Mytilus edulis: one gene and its partner. The protein of the gene in region 1 purifies or fractionates together with the protein of each later gene. This does not show direct contact. Links are inferred from orthologs where the notes say so. Each region holds a gene or a part of one and is shown on either strand. Other genes may lie near its edges.

The links. The genes of interacting proteins can lie anywhere in the genome.
Region 2: the proteins of UBX domain-containing protein 6-like (region 1) and tether containing UBX domain for GLUT4-like purify together in Homo sapiens (affinity purification with mass spectrometry; 4 studies listed by BioGRID and IntAct, counting the BioPlex papers as one, with this or other methods). This does not show direct contact. The link is inferred for Mytilus edulis from reciprocal best matches to the Homo sapiens genes UBXN6 and ASPSCR1.

Annotation. Positions count from the first base shown.
Region 1 is NC_092344.1:104,270,789-104,278,736, forward strand, and holds the start of UBX domain-containing protein 6-like, read right to left. Parts: upstream 3,008-7,948; 5' UTR 2,666-3,007; intron 1,014-2,665; 5' UTR 950-1,013; coding exon 700-949; intron 1-699. Other genes in the region: acid phosphatase type 7-like, read left to right, coding at 7,457-7,678. UniProt on the Homo sapiens protein: May negatively regulate the ATPase activity of VCP, an ATP-driven segregase that associates with different cofactors to control a wide variety of cellular processes.
Region 2 is NC_092352.1:39,217,994-39,226,001, reverse strand, and holds the start of tether containing UBX domain for GLUT4-like, read right to left. Parts: upstream 3,007-8,008; 5' UTR 2,952-3,006; coding exon 2,874-2,951; intron 1-2,873. Other genes in the region: DNA excision repair protein ERCC-6-like, read left to right, coding at 4,603-4,807, 5,030-5,129, 5,424-5,541, 7,892-8,006. UniProt on the Homo sapiens protein: Tethering protein that sequesters GLUT4-containing vesicles in the cytoplasm in the absence of insulin. Modulates the amount of GLUT4 that is available at the cell surface. Enhances VCP methylation catalyzed by VCPKMT.

The sequences.
Region 1 (7,948 bases):
AAAAATGACCACATTATTGATATTCATGTCAACACTGAAGTGTTGACTACTGGGCTGGTGATACCCTCGGGAACGAAACGACCACCAGCAGTGGCATCGACCCAGTGGTGTAAATAGTTATCAAAGGTACCAGGATTATAATTTAGTACACCAGACACGCATTTCGTCTACATACGACTCATCAGTGACACTCATATCAAAAAATTTATAAAGCCAAAGAAGTACAAAGTTGAAGAGCATTGAGGATCCAAAATTCCCAAAAGTTGTGCCAAATACGGCTAAGGTAATCTATGCCTGGGATAAGAAAATCCTTAGATTTTCGAAAAATTCAAAGTTTTGTAAACAGGAAATTGATAAAAATGACCACATTATTGTTATTCATGTCAACACCGAAGTGTTGACTACTGGGCTGGTGATACCCTCGGGGACCAAACGTCCACCAGTTTGATACAGATTTTTCGTAGGTAAGACGTTTCAACTGAGGTACTACACAAGCATTGAAAGGCTTCGTTATGGAGGAAAGGGTTAAACTATAATCATGACAATGGTTTATTTCTCTGATATCATATACATGTACAAAAAATTATTTGCCATGTTGAAGTTCCCCATATTATTTCTTTTTCATATATTAACAAAATCACAAAATGTAGGAATGTTAAAATCATAAAACTAACAGGTAAATTTCCAACCAATCATTACCTTGTTTAGATTGTTTCTCTTTCTGTTCCATTCTTGCCAGTGCTGCAGCTGCTGCCCGTTTCTTCTCCTCTGACACAGCAGCATCTCCCCTGGAAGAAATTGGTGGTTGACTACTGGTTCCTGGTTGTGGTACAGGTCTGTGTGTGGGTGGGGGTCTTTGTGCGGGCTCATCTAATTTATGTCCCTCACCATACTTTTTAAACTTAAAATCCATCTTCTTCTTCTGAAAAAACTTCTTTATGGCCGACATCTTGGTGTTTGGCTTTATTCCCTTTTTAAGTGAAGATCAGGCCTTACTGTAGTCCCAAATAAATCTGTTTTAAAATAATGATGATGAAATTACGGTATTATTTGCAATAATCACGATAATCCAACATTTATTGATTTTTACAAATGTAGTCCATTTCTTTTGCATGTTTAGCCTGGCATAACTTTTTACCCCCAATATACCCCCCTCCCCCCCAAAAAAATAAAGTTTCAACATAATGTGATTAAATAATAATGTTATTGCACATAGTGATACTTTTATTTTGTTCATGTTAATTTAACAAAAATATTTTTTAAATTTTATGAATATATATATTTAATTTTAAATCACTCTTTCCCTTGTAACTTGTTCCGTTAATGTCTGCCGCTTATGATCACAATATAACTTATTACCCCAATATACTCAAATAAAAAGTTTCAATATTATACAATTTTCATGTTATTGGCTCAATATTTAGTTAATTTTGTATATATATATATATATACATGTATTTCAAATGTTTCTACAATGTATCTTTCACTAAATCAGGACATTGGTCAGCTTAACCATTGTTAACATGAATAAACAATTAAACTGTGAGGAAACTGTTTGTTTGGGTATATTGGGGGTAAAAAGTAGAACCCTTAATAGGAGCCTGTTGTTCAGTGGTTGTCATATATATGTCATGTATGTTGGTGTGATTCATAGGTACATTTTATTTCTTGTTCCTAGTTTTTTATAGATTAGACTGTTGGTATTCTTGTTTTATATATACAATGTACATGATATATGCTTGTCATTTTGGTGCCTATTGCAGCTTGCTATTAAGTGTGATGGATAGACAGCTGTCTCAATGGCACTCATACGACATTGTACAACATCTTTTTTTATGTTAAATATATATATTCGAGTGATCAATAACTGCGAAAATGTTTTCTCCATTGTACATGTTGTATGCTGAATACTCAATTTTTTCTCAAGTTTGCATTGATCTGTAGACCTAAAATTTCTATCTTGTAGGTCCTCCTTCATCAGAAGTGTTAGCTTATAGTTAACATATTGAAAATTGCATATCTCAGTGTTCTCCGCAGAATTTTCAAATAGCACTGTGGAAATGAACTAAGCACTGGTTTTCAAAAAGTAATCTAGTGGATGCAGTTTGAAGGTGAAGATAGACTGGTTATGTGTCTAATAATGTTGAAATGTTATAGATGAGATCACATGTGTCTACAATGAACTATTAATCAATTGAAACAAGCACTTGTGCCCAGCAGAAACATGTTATAGGGTAGCTTCATAACGAATAACAGTAAAAAATCTTGCCAAATGACTTTTAGGTACTTTTTAGTGCCTGAGAATAAAATGTACTTTCATTTTGACAATAAAAAAAAATACTGATTTTAACTATAAATCACAATAATCCTCTCCGATTTGACGCTTAGTAACGGTAGCAGAAAATGACTGTATGACAGATGTCTGTAAAGGGCATTCCTACCCTTTTAGTTTTATGGTTAAATGAAACAAATTCAATAAAAAATGTATGTACATTTATGTTATGGACAGATCATATGTTTTCGTACGTCATATGAATTTGTACTATGCATGCTTTTTCAATGGAAATTGTTACGTCACAATGCATTCTTAATAGTGCGAAAAATTGAGGCAAAGAGGATATAATAAAATTAGGAATCTACAGAAATTCTTTTTTTTGTTACTTACTAACCCTGTCTCAAAAACTTTTCACAAATGTGCTGCCCATACAATGACCATGCAATCTTTATAAGGATGACGTTGACCAATAACCAGGCTAATAAAAAGAGCAGTATGGTGCTTTGCACATCTCCAACATCAATTTTTAACCAGGATAAAATTTCGATTTTCACTTGCTGAAACACTGAACCGATATAGTCTGACGTAACTATATCTTTAAAATATGAATAGAATGTTTGGTCACTCATCACATGACAATTGTTAACAATTATGCTGCTGGCCCTGGCAAATAGCAAACTATTTATGACTGTGACAGTGTTTGCAAATCGAAACCGGTGTCAAGGGAAAATGGATCCGGAATTTTTAAACCGGAAGATCTTTTATAAGTTAATTCTCTAATAAAAAGTGTTCTGAATGGGAAAATGTCTTTCAAACAGAACATACTTGAACAATTCATTTTTAATTTAACTTGTTCAACCGTTATATGTTGGTTGCAATCGTTAAACAACAATCGGAAAATCGGAAAATGCAGCGCAAAACCGCATCCACACTGACTTCCGGGATAAATAATGACGTACAAACAAATGAAAACACTTGTGGTGCCGCTTGTGTATACATAGAAGAACCAGTCCATATCTTACAGTATGCCTAACAATACCTCTGGACGACTGACGTCACGAGGATTCTCTTCTACTTCCGTTTACTGTATTAACCACATGTATTATTATATTGCTGTCTACTGATTCATCAGATATACAGAGATTTACAGATATTAAAGGTATTCTGTTTATTACACATACACTTTACTTATTTGTACCATATCGGCACAACATTGGCGTCGTACGACAAAGAACGAATTATTTTTAGCAAGTGAGGCGGACTCCACGAGGGCGCCTTTGCAGATTTGAAAACTTTAGATGCTTCATTTTTTTGTAAATTTATTACGTAAGCATTGCAATAAATTTACTTCAAATTGATTGTAGATTAAATTGCATCAAATTTTTACAGTTTATCACGTATGAAATCTTCATATTTGATATTTTTCATCAGATAATACTAGGAGCTTCCGGTTATAGCCATTAGGTCCTTCTTCACGGAAGTCACTTGTCTGCATTACTACATTGCGCAGACGCAAACCGGAAACGGTCTTGATTTCAGTAACTTAGTTTCGTACATTATTTTACACTGAATTTAGACTGATATTTTATATTAAAGAAGGTATATACACTCATAAATATTTATGAACAAAATCTTATACACCGTATAATAAAGTACAGTGTGTCAGCTGAGTCTCTGTTCCAGTTCTGCCCTATTTTGTTGCCTGCATTTTTGAAATTGTAAAAGTAGTAGCTTTTATAAAAAAGCTGCATTGTTTATGTCTTGAATCGCATATAAAAGTTGTGATTTTGAGATTTATTTGCCTTGAGTAATTACTCAGTGCATATCATATTGTTTTGAGTTGCAGAATATTTCAATTTGAAATATTTTATTGTAATTTGAGAATAAATTGTGATATTCTATTAACAAGTTAAAGGACAAAATGGCAGGAATTGGGGATGATAATGAACTTAGTCAGAAGGAAAACCTTGATGAGTTGACACAGGTAGAGATATTAAGCAAAGAACAAATAGCTGACAACACTCTAACTGAACACAAAAACAACATACCATTAGAGCAGCTTTACCAAGAATTTAAGGAAGAGAGAAAGGCAAACGAAAAAAGAGCTGCTGAGATTGATAGCAGGGTTAAACAAAGCGAGGAACGCATTAACCAAATATTCAATGGTTTGTTGAATTTTAAAGCAGAACAAAAGGAAGCAATGAAAACTTGCTCAGAAAATATTGGAGCAATATCCCAGCAAGTCCAACAGTCGGAACATAGAATTGACCGGAAGATAGATGACAACGCTAAGCATTTAGAAGAATTAACATCTGAAAAGTTTAATGCCTTAGCAAGAAAGTTGGACAAAATGGATCCATCGGAGGAGGCGAGTACAGTCCAATTTAAGAGTGCCTTTGAGCAAACAGGATCATTTCAAGAGATGACATCAGTGGTTAGTGATTTGGTTACCAAGAGGAACAAAGAAGTCCAACTCCCACCTATGGATACCCCAGTGAAACAAAAAGTTGAACCCAGTCAATATATTGCCAGGACACAATTAATGCAAAATAAGCCTCCTGCTTTTGGCTTCTCAACAAGCAGTTCAATTGACCATACAACTACACTGCCTGAATCCAAAGCAGGTGTACTTCCACTTTCAAGTGCCAAAGGTAATGTGTTAGGGCCCTCGGCACTACACAACACAGTGTTGTTTCCACAGCCTCATGGCAACGACATGCTAGAAAGTGTTGGTACTGAGAAGGAAACTTATCACATGCAAGGTTCGCTGTCACTACCTAGTAGCAAGGGTAACGTGCCAGGGCCCTCTGCTCTGCACGGGACGACCTCAGGTATGCTAACACAGCCTCCATTCAAAGGCACAGATGGAGCATACACAGAATATAGACCCACATATTATACTACTCCAGCAATGGTTCCTTTAACATCGTCCTATGTTGGTACACCATATGTAGCTCAAGGTACACATGTTAGTAGTACACCATTACATATAAAACCAGCTGCAAGTAGCGAGTCACATGCAGCTTCCTTGGTGCTGAATAGACCAGCAATGTACGCTAATATGGAATCAATAGTACAACAACCCCCATTCGCGTTCATGACCCCTGTGATGACTACAGACCAGTCACCAAAGCAAATTGATAAAAGAAGGTCAAGATCGCGCATTAAAAAGGAACAGAAACGAAGCCATAGCTCTTCCTCAGATTCCTCTCTTGATAGGGAGTACTCAAGATGGCATGACAATTCTGGGGCTAGGGACAGAAGCAGAAGTCCTCAGCTTCCGAAGATGCAAGTCTTTACAGGAAGAGGATCCCTTAATTGGGAAGCATTTGTTTATCAATTTGAAAGGACTGCAGGCCGAAGACAGTGGGAGGATCGGAAGAAGGTTTGCAGACTGTTAGACTGTTTAGCAGATGTGGCATTAGAATATGCCCGCAAAGTTAATATCAGTGATGATTACAAGGCGCTACGAAAAGCCATTAAGCAACGTTTTAGCCGAAAGGATGAACCAGTTTCAGCAAGACGTCAGTTACAGTATTTAAGGCAACAGGACAGTGAAACCCTGGAAGAGTTTGCCGAACGTGTCCATTTTATAGCCATGGACGGATACAATAAATGTGACAACTCGGTTATTGATCAAATCGGTACAGAGGCATTTCTCAGAGGTTGCAAAGATAAGGAATCTGCCCGTCACGTAATAGAAGGAAATCCAGAGTCTATCAACAAGGCATTGAAACATATGAAAACGTCTATTGCAAACCAAAAAGCTATATATGGGTCAAGAAGTCCGAATTTTGCCCATCGACAAGTTTCATTTGCTAGCAGTATCAATAACTTGACTGACATAGTACATGTCGATCACAGCCCATTGGAGGATGAAGTACAAAACTTGACAGAGCTTGTGTCTAAATTATCAGATGTAATGCTTTCCTCAGATCAATCTGCGTCTAGAAGATCCCCAAAGTTCAATGTATATCGAACAATTACACCCCCACAAATTCAAAGGTCATATAGTCCTTCACAGCAACGATCACCATCACCAGGACCAAACTATAAGAATTCAGGATACCTCAGACAACAGTCTCCGTTATCCAATGGCAGTGTTAAGCATAGCCCTAATCCATCAGCTGAGTCTTTAAACATCAGCGGGAAGAGTGGGTAGGTCAACGCTCGACCCTTAATTCTGATGGCCAAAATGAAATGACAAATGACATATCAGAACAGAGGCCCACGGCCTCGTCTGATGTTGTTAGAAGTCGTGTTTTGACAGGAAGGGTTACATCGTTATATCCAAATGAAAGTATAATTGTGAAGAATGCATCGACAATAACACTGATGAACAATACATTAAGGCCAGCAGAGATAGGCTATGAAACTGTTACAGTGATATTTGGCTTAAGCAAGAAACTGGTTATTAGCCAAGTTGGAATGAAAACACCCCTGAATATTGATAGAATACATATATATTTGTGCATGACATTACTGCTGTCACGCTGTGAGGTTGAGTTTTCCTGGCACATGTACCTATGGGACATAACAGTCACTCAGAGATGCAATCTGGGGCCTTTGGCCTCGTTTGCATGTTTATTTATATAGGAACATTTATTGTATGGACTTTGTAAATATATTTGTTTTTACCAGGACGGTACTGCAATTTGTAAAAACGTTAATTGATTGTATTTATATTCTGCTACTTGTGAATCTGCTTGAATGTTCAAGGATGTTTCTAGTGGCATCCTGCACTTTGGGGTGCAAATGTAGAGGGTAACGTACTTATGTTTTCGGTAGTGTTTTACCTTGTTTTTTAGGTTTATTTTATAGTTTAAATATGTGACTGATTCTACATGAAGGGGACGAATGTGGTGCCGCTTGTGTATACATAGAAGAACCAGTCCATATCTTACAGTATGCCTAACAATACCTCTGGACGACTGACGTCACGAGGATTCTCTTCTACTTCCGTTTACTGTATTAACCACATGTATTATTATATTGCTGTCTACTGATTCATCAGATATACAGAGATTTACAGATATTAAAGGTATTCTGTTTATTACACATACACTTTACTTATTTGTACCATATCGGCACAACACACTGAACAGAAAATAATATTCAACTATGAACATATCTAATATGCTAGCAATCTCGATGTGCTTCTTATTTTTCAGTTAAGGAATAATGCATTCTTCAAAACAGACATGGCTTATATACTTTATTTTTGTTTATGTTACTGCTTGCATGGGAAACTTTGTAAAACCAAAACCAGCTGCTAATATAAATGAACCACAGCAAATCCACATTGGCTTTGGTCAGCGATTAACCGACATCATTATTTTATGGTCAACTAAAAACAATGATTCTTCAGTCGCAGAATATTATACAGGAAACACAAATTCAAAGGTATTCCAAAAGTATTTGTATTATACAGTTATCTTTTTTATAGTCATTCCGTACCAATACACCTTATCGCTAAACCCGGTTGACCCGGCCTCTTGAACTTTTGACGTCAAACTACAATCACTTTTCCATTGTGGCATCAGATATTTTGTTTTATGATGTCAAAATTTTACGGGAACCTGTGTGATATCCAGTAATGGCGGACAAATAGCGATAAGGTGTATAAAAGAGGGTGGTAATACACCTTATCGCTATTTATTCCATTCCGGGAAA
Region 2 (8,008 bases), on another chromosome or scaffold:
GTTTTTCCCCTTTTTTGCCCCTAATTCCGAAACATTTTGAGCCATAACCCCCAAAAGTCAATACCAAACCATCCCTTCATGGTATAGAAACTTGTGGTATAATTTCAGAGAGATTCATCCACTACAAAAATGATTATTTTGGGCCCCCTTTTTGGCCCCTAATTCCTAAACTATTAAGGACCATAACCCCCAAAATCAATCCCAAGCTTCCTTTTGTGGTTATAAACATTGTGTTAAAATTTTATTGATTTCGGTAACTTAATCAAAAGTTATTATCCGGAAACAATCCGTCTTCGAAAAACGCTAACGACGACGGCGAAGACGTGATACCAATAAACGACTAAATTTTTTTTAATATTTGCGGTCGTATAAAATTCAAATGTTATTCCAGTGTGTGAAATGCGTTTTGATATGTTTTCCTTTTGTTACAGGGATCAGGATAGGCAAGAGGTACAAAAGCATGTAGACCTCCTACGACATATAAAGAGAGAGTTTCAGAAGAGCGTCAATGACCCTCATGTCATGAAGTACAGGGCTACTTGGATATGGAAACATATGGCATCACCAGGAAGAGGTTCAGGGAAGCCCAGTCGTTTTTCTTCAAGGTCACCTCTTAGTGGGCCATTGTTGAAAATGCCTGCATCCAATGCAGATCCCTCTGCCCCAACGTCTGCTCACAGAAACTTGTAGCTACTGTCGACCACTCAAAGCAGGACTATAGAAAAGTAACCCTTGTAAATGTAGTGCTTGGTTCTGATGTTCTTTGATGCCTTGATAGCCACATGTTTGCCATGGGGATAATTCCTGCGAGCTCAAAATCTGTCTGCCACTTGACACCATCCATGGTGTGCTTGGGGTCTGCATCGTCTCGCCAAGATATTCATCAATGATAGCCTGCGCAACCTTCGGAATGAACCCTGAGATGGTGTTGTGGGGACACGAAAGGAGAATATTAGGCTGCTGTAACTGTTCCCTGTGGCCATATAGCGCAGGGTCATGGACCATTGGTCAGCTTCAGTCCAGACTCAAGAGGGGTGCAGCAGCCTCACAGTCGACCCTTGATGATGCATTCGGTGTTTTCTACACTGTTAACAGGCTTAAATCAACAATAACAGGACCATATTTTGCTCTTGTTGGAGTCCGGCAAGGGGCCTATTCAGCAGGGCCAAGCATTATCGTTCTGGTGGAATAGCCATCCTCTTTATATGGCAGACGGTATATTTTTTCCAAACATTTATTCCCGCCAAGTTGTATTCTTCTAAATAAAAATAAAAATATGTTGCAAGACGAACTTACTACTGTCTTAAGACAGACAATCAATGTTTTGTGAGCATCATACAAAATTTGGTATTCGTGAGACAATTGTGTGACAGCGACTGTATCACGGTTGGCTTGCAAGGGTCTCACTAATTAGTGACAAGAAGCGTCAAGAAGAATAATTTTAGCGACAAGAAGCGACAAGAAGACTATTTAGCAACAAGAAAACATTTTTATTATTAAATATAAAGAAATATGCATTTTTTTTTTAAATATACAAGCAGAAATAAATTGATATTTTTTTATTAATAGATGAAGAAATCGAGGCACGTGTTCCTTGTTTTATTGCCACAATAACATCCAATTAACACCTTCAACTTTGTACACGCGTCAGAATATACAATCATTGTAAATAGTGAACACCTATTGAAAACTCAAGATTGTCATTAATTTCCTTTAATCTTCAATCAATATACATAAACATGATAAATATCGTGTAATGAGGCAATAAACAAAATAAAATGATGAAAAATATTCACATTTTAATTTTCTTTTCCTCTTGTTTGATTTCAGTTATTTGTATTTCACAATTTGTGTCTGTATTTTCTGAAAGTTTATTATATATATTGTACAAAGAGAGTTTTAAAAAAAAATTATAAGATAAATATATATTATTGTTTTAAAACACAAGTAAAAGCTGAGACATATGTGTATACATGGCTCTGGTAAAAGTAATATCCTAATACGACAGGGTAAACGTAATACTTGCTGTTAAACATAATAAATGATAAAATATCATGTAAATAAATGTTTTAATTTTTTTTTTATCAATATTAAATTTCTTGTCGCTAAAATTGTTTTCTTTTGCATATTCTTTTAATATTTATTCGGAATAAGTAATTTTAATAAAAAAAAAAATATTTTCTTGTCGCTTAAAATAGTTTCTTGTCGCTTCTTGTCACTAAAATAATTCTTCTTGTCGCTAATTAGTGAGACCGGCTTGCAACAGTCGTGAGATTGCTGTACGACAGTTTTGCGACAGTCTTACAATTGTTTTAATAAAATGGTTTATATTGGTACCCAGGACAATGTGTTTATCGCACAACAGTGGTAAGACTTTGGTAAGACACTCTCAAGACAGCCACAAGACAGTTGACACAACAAAAAATCGTAGATCAAAAAAGGTTCATGTCCAATTTTTGTCCCACAACACACAACAGCACCACAATGTTCAAAATATCATTCAACTGTCGAAGGACGATCACAGATTACCTACTATTTGACCAAATTGCATATGGTGGCGCTGAATAGATGTGTCATAGCTTTAGGAAAATTATGATTGTACCAACTTAGAAATATGAGAGTTGTATTTTCACTCGTTTCTGGTTGACAACGATTGATTTGGTTTTAATATACTTTCTCTTTTTTAGGAAACCATGCAGTTCGGTAATTTTGTTTTACTTTTTTACTTTTACCGGTGCGGTGTCCGAAAAAAATGTGCATGACTTGCAATTTGTAAATGACTAAATGTGTGCGTTGGAAAGACTGACATTTGAAAAAGACCACTAATTTACTATGAACATAATCAGTTTTTGAATTCTATATGGTCCTCATACCTGTAGCAACTTAGTATTTGGTGTAATTTTCACATTTTGTCGTCTTCCGTTTGGACATAGAACCTGTACAGTCGCCATTGTTGTTGTTTACAAAATGAACTTCCGGTGCTTCTATCCTTGTAAATAAATCAATTTAATTATCTATTTCAAAATTTATCAACTCTTTAAGTACAACTTCATTGCATCTAAAAAGTTTCATTTATTTTTGAGACATCGAATATTATTAGAATAGCATTATTTCAGAGTGTAATAAAATATAAAATCATGCCCCTTAGGACATGGAGATGAAGTTGTGTAATGTTTTTCAAAATGTGCTGATGTTAGTGATGGGATAAGTCTGTTTATAAAATCTCTGAGTAAATTGATTACTTTGAGATCAAATAATTGGTAATTAAGAGATTAAAGATCGGTCTTTGTAATAAAATGTTTTCATTCAGTTTAATAATTTTAACCAGTTGCAGTTTATCTTTTGTTGTTATGTTTTAGATACATTTTACTGTTAAACTTATCAGAAAATATAGGCCTATGTGTTTAAATTGTAATTAGGTGTGTCAAATAAAAGCTACACAGAACTTATGTAGAGGGATGTAAAGGTGCCGAAACATGTGAAATAAAAATCACAAAAACGTTCCACGGAAAAATATTGGAGAAAAACGAAAAAAGTACCAAAAGGTATTACTTGGCTGTTCTTGGAGATCAAACATTCATAGTTAATGGACATGAAGACCCTGTGGTTACCTCTGAGACTTAGCGTCCGATTTGAAAAGATATTATTCTAAGTAAAACAATAGGCTATTAATAAAGAGAGCAATAAATATCTTGGGACCCAGCTAATTAGTTTATTCAAAACAATGTCCAGGCTGAATTTCAATTAGTCAGGGGTTTACTTTTTAATCAATTGCGGGATAAGCACGAGAAATTAAGAATACTAACCATGCTGACACAAAACACAGAAAATAAATTAAGAAAAACATGAAAAAACAAGAAATAAAACGTCAAACAGGAAAACATGTGAAGTGAAAAGGCTGAAAGCATTGCATGAAAAATTAACCCTTTACCACCCTCTATGTAACCTGAAATGTGTGTGCACTGATCATGACTTCAAAAAAATCTTCTACGTCTAAATATTTTAACTAGCAAATAATGTAAAAAACAAAAGATACTTTTCTCTTCTATATTAAATAAATCTACTAAAACAAATACAGAAAATAAAAGAACTAGCCTGTCAATTTAAAAATCAAGGTAACTACTTTCAGTGCCATATATTAATCATTTTATAGTTCTGTTACTCATGATGAGCTGCCGCTGCTGACTGGTTTCAGGGTACCGCTTCATTATAGTTTGACAATTTATAGCAAAAAAAAAATGGCACTAAAATAAACAAAATGGGACTAAGAAATCAAGTACTAACATTCGTTTTGCATCCAAAAGCAAAATTGGAAATTCAAATAACATATACAATTTTAAGGTGTAAAAGGTTCATACTTATTAAAAAGCAATAACAGTTTAAAAAAGTTCACACATAGTAGAACTCTTCGAATATTTAAAAGATGAAATTTTGCAAAATAAAAGACACTTTTGTTCAACTTAACCTAAATTATCCTAAAATTCAAAACACTTAAACTATCAGGAGTTTTAGTTATCATAGCATCTTTTGTATCAGATAAAATGTTTATTCAGTTCATTCTTTTTTATTTTACAGATTTTATATAATATACAGATATCCAATATGGATAAGAAAATTATTTCTGGAGATTTAGATGAGCCATCAGCCATGGAGACAGATCAGCATCAAGATCCAATAGAGAAAGAGAAAGCTAAAAGCTTCCATGTCAACAGAGATTTAATACCTGTTGCACAGTTAGATGACCAAGCTTTTGATGAACTTAAAAACTTAGGACTAGATGTATTTAACCAAGAGGATTTTGAAGAAGGTATTTGCATGTAAAATCAAATTATTGCTTTATTTTTTGGCATCAAGAATGGATATTTTTTTTTCTTATATGGAACTCATAGAGATATGTTTGGTTCTTGTTTATAATTCATCAGATTGACAAAAGGATTTTGGGAAATCTTTGAAAATTGAAATACCGGTATATGAAAATGTAAGTAAATATAAATGTAGATGTTTCTGTGAATTATATTTTTTACTTCAGGTGTTATGGCACAAGTAGGAGAGGTGTTAGCAAAGGAAGAGGAAGACAGGAACAAAAAAGTTTTAGAGAAAGATCTTAGGGCTGTTGAATTTGACATAAAGTAAGTTAGCAAGACAAACAAAATGGGTAACAAGAAGTTAATCTGAATCAGTGAATGAAATTTCCATATGGTTCTAAACATTTTTTTAAACAGAAAAATTTGCACAACACTTTGTTGAATAAGACAGATTTTATGCACACAAACTGTAATAATTATATATTTATAAAGGTAATGCATCTGTGATAATACATATTCATTATAATGGATGTACAGAATATTGAAATAATATTAGCAGTACCTGAAATTTTGAAAATATGATATTTATGTATACAATTGTGTCAATTATTATTTCAGGAATGTTGAAAAAGAGTTGAAGCAGGTGACCACAGTTTTATCTTCCCTGAATACTGGCATCACATCTGCTTTTGTACAGAAAAGATTGTTAACTGTAAAGAAACAGAAGGAAAATAAGGTAGACTGTTACTGAAATACTTTTTTCTAGTTCCAATTTCCAAATCTTTCACGATAACAGGAATAACTTACAATTCTTTTTTAAAATATAAAACACACCAACCTCTAATATTTGACTTCCCCTATTAAAACTGAGTATACCATTTTTATACGACCGCAAATTTTGAAAAAATATCATGTCGGCGTCGTCGTCGTCGTCGTCGTCGTCGTCGTCGTCGTCGTCGTCCGGCGTCCGAATACTTTTAGTTTTCGCACTCTAACTTTAGTAAAAGTGAATGGAAACCTATGAAATTTTAACACAAGGTTTATGACCACAAAAGGAAGGTTTGTATTGATTTTGGGAGTTTTGGTCCCAACATTTTAGGAATTAGGGGCCAAAAAGGGCCCAAATAAGCATTTTCTTGGTTTTCGCACTATAACTTTAGTTTAAGTTAATAGAAATCTATGAAATTTTGACACAAGGTTTATGACCACAAAAGAACGGTTGGGATTGATTTTGGGAGTTTTGGTCTCAACAGTTTAGGAATTAGGGGCCAAAAAAGGGCCCAAATAAGCATTATTCTTGGTTTTCGCACAATAACATTAGTTTAAGTAAATAGAAATCAATGAAATTTAAACACAATGTTAATGACTACAAAAGGAAGGTTGGTATTGATTTTGGGAGTTTAGGTCCCAACAGTTTAGGAATTAGGGGCCAAAAAGGGACCCAAATAAGCATTTTTCTTGGTTTTTGCACCATAACGTTAGTATAAGTAAATAGAAATCTATGAAATTTAAACACAAGGTTTATGACCATAAAAGAAAGGTTGGGTTTGATTTTGGGAGTTTTGGTCCCAACATAATAAGGGGCCCAAAGGGTCCAAAATTAAACTTTTGTTTGATTTCATCAAAATTGAATAATTGGGGTTCTTTGATATGCTGAATCTAACTGTCATGACTGTGTATGTAGATTCTTAACTTTTGGTCCCGTTTTCAAATTGGTCTACATTAAGGTCCAAAGGGTCCAAAATTAAACTTAGTTTGATTTTGACAAAAAATGAATCAGTTAGGTTCTTTGATATGCTGAATCTAAAAATGTACTTAGATTCTTGATTATTGGCCCAGTTTTCAAGTTGGTCCAAATCGGGGTCCAAAATTAAACTTTGTTTGATTTCATCAAAAATTGAATAAATGGGGTTCTTTGATATACCAAATCTAACTGTGTATGTAGATTCTTCATTTTTGGTCCTGTTTTCAAATTGGTCTACACTAAAGTCCAAAGGGTCCAAAATTAAACTTAGTCTGATTTTAACAAAAATTGAAATCTTGAAGTTCTTTGATATGCTGAATCCAAAAATGTACTTAGATTTTTTATTATGGGCCCAGTTTTCAAGTTGGTCCAAATCAGGATCTAAAATTATTATATTAAGTATTGTGCAATAGCAAGTCTTTTCAATTGCACAGTATTGCGCAATGGCAAGAAATATCTAATTGCACAAATATTGTGAAATAGCAAATTTTTTTTTTAATTAGAGTTATCTTTCTTTGTCCAGAATAGTAAGCAAGAAATATCTAATTGCAAAATATTGTGCAATAGCAAGATTTTTTTTTAATTGGAGTTATCTTTCTTTGTCCAGAATCAACTTAAATCTTTGTTATATACAATATACAATGTATATTCACTTTTTACTACCAACTGATAAATTAAAATAATCTTTACCATTCAGTGATAACAAGCAGTTTTTTTACATCTTAATATTTTATGATGTATTTAAATGAGTAGTTATTGTTGCAAACTCCATTAGAAATTTTAATTGAGATTAGTTTTGGAATAAGGGAAAGGGGGATGTGATTAAAAAAAATGGGTTCAATTTTTCTCATTTGAAATTTCATAAATAAAAATGAAAATTTCTTCAAACATTTTTTTGAGAGGATTAATATTCAACAGCATAGTGAATTGCTCTAAGAGAAACAAAAATTTTAAGTTCATTAGAACACATTCATTCTGTGTCAGAAACCTATGCTGTGTCAACTATTTAATCACAATCCAAATTTAGAGCTGAATCCAGCTTGAATGTTGTGTCCATACTTGCCCTAACCGTTCAGGGTTCAACCTCTGCGGTCGTATAAAGCTACGCCCTGCGAAGCATCTGGTTTCATGTTATTGTAAAAGTGTAAATGAACTTTTCACAATTGAAACAATTAAACTACATTCCTTTTGTGTTTGCTATATTTTATATTCTTTGTGATGCAGAAAATTTAAATAATTTTCTATCTTATTAAATGCTAGAATTTGGTTGACTGAGGTATAGAATTAGAACAATTGTGCATTCTTAACTCTTTAGAAAAAAATCAAATTCGTTTTGTTTCAGTCAAACCAATTGATGACCTTGAAAGCAAAAGAGAAATCTTTGAAGAAAAAGCTTGGACTCAATATTGAGGAATCTGATGAAGAGAAGGAAGGGGAAATAACTGATGAAAAACCTGGT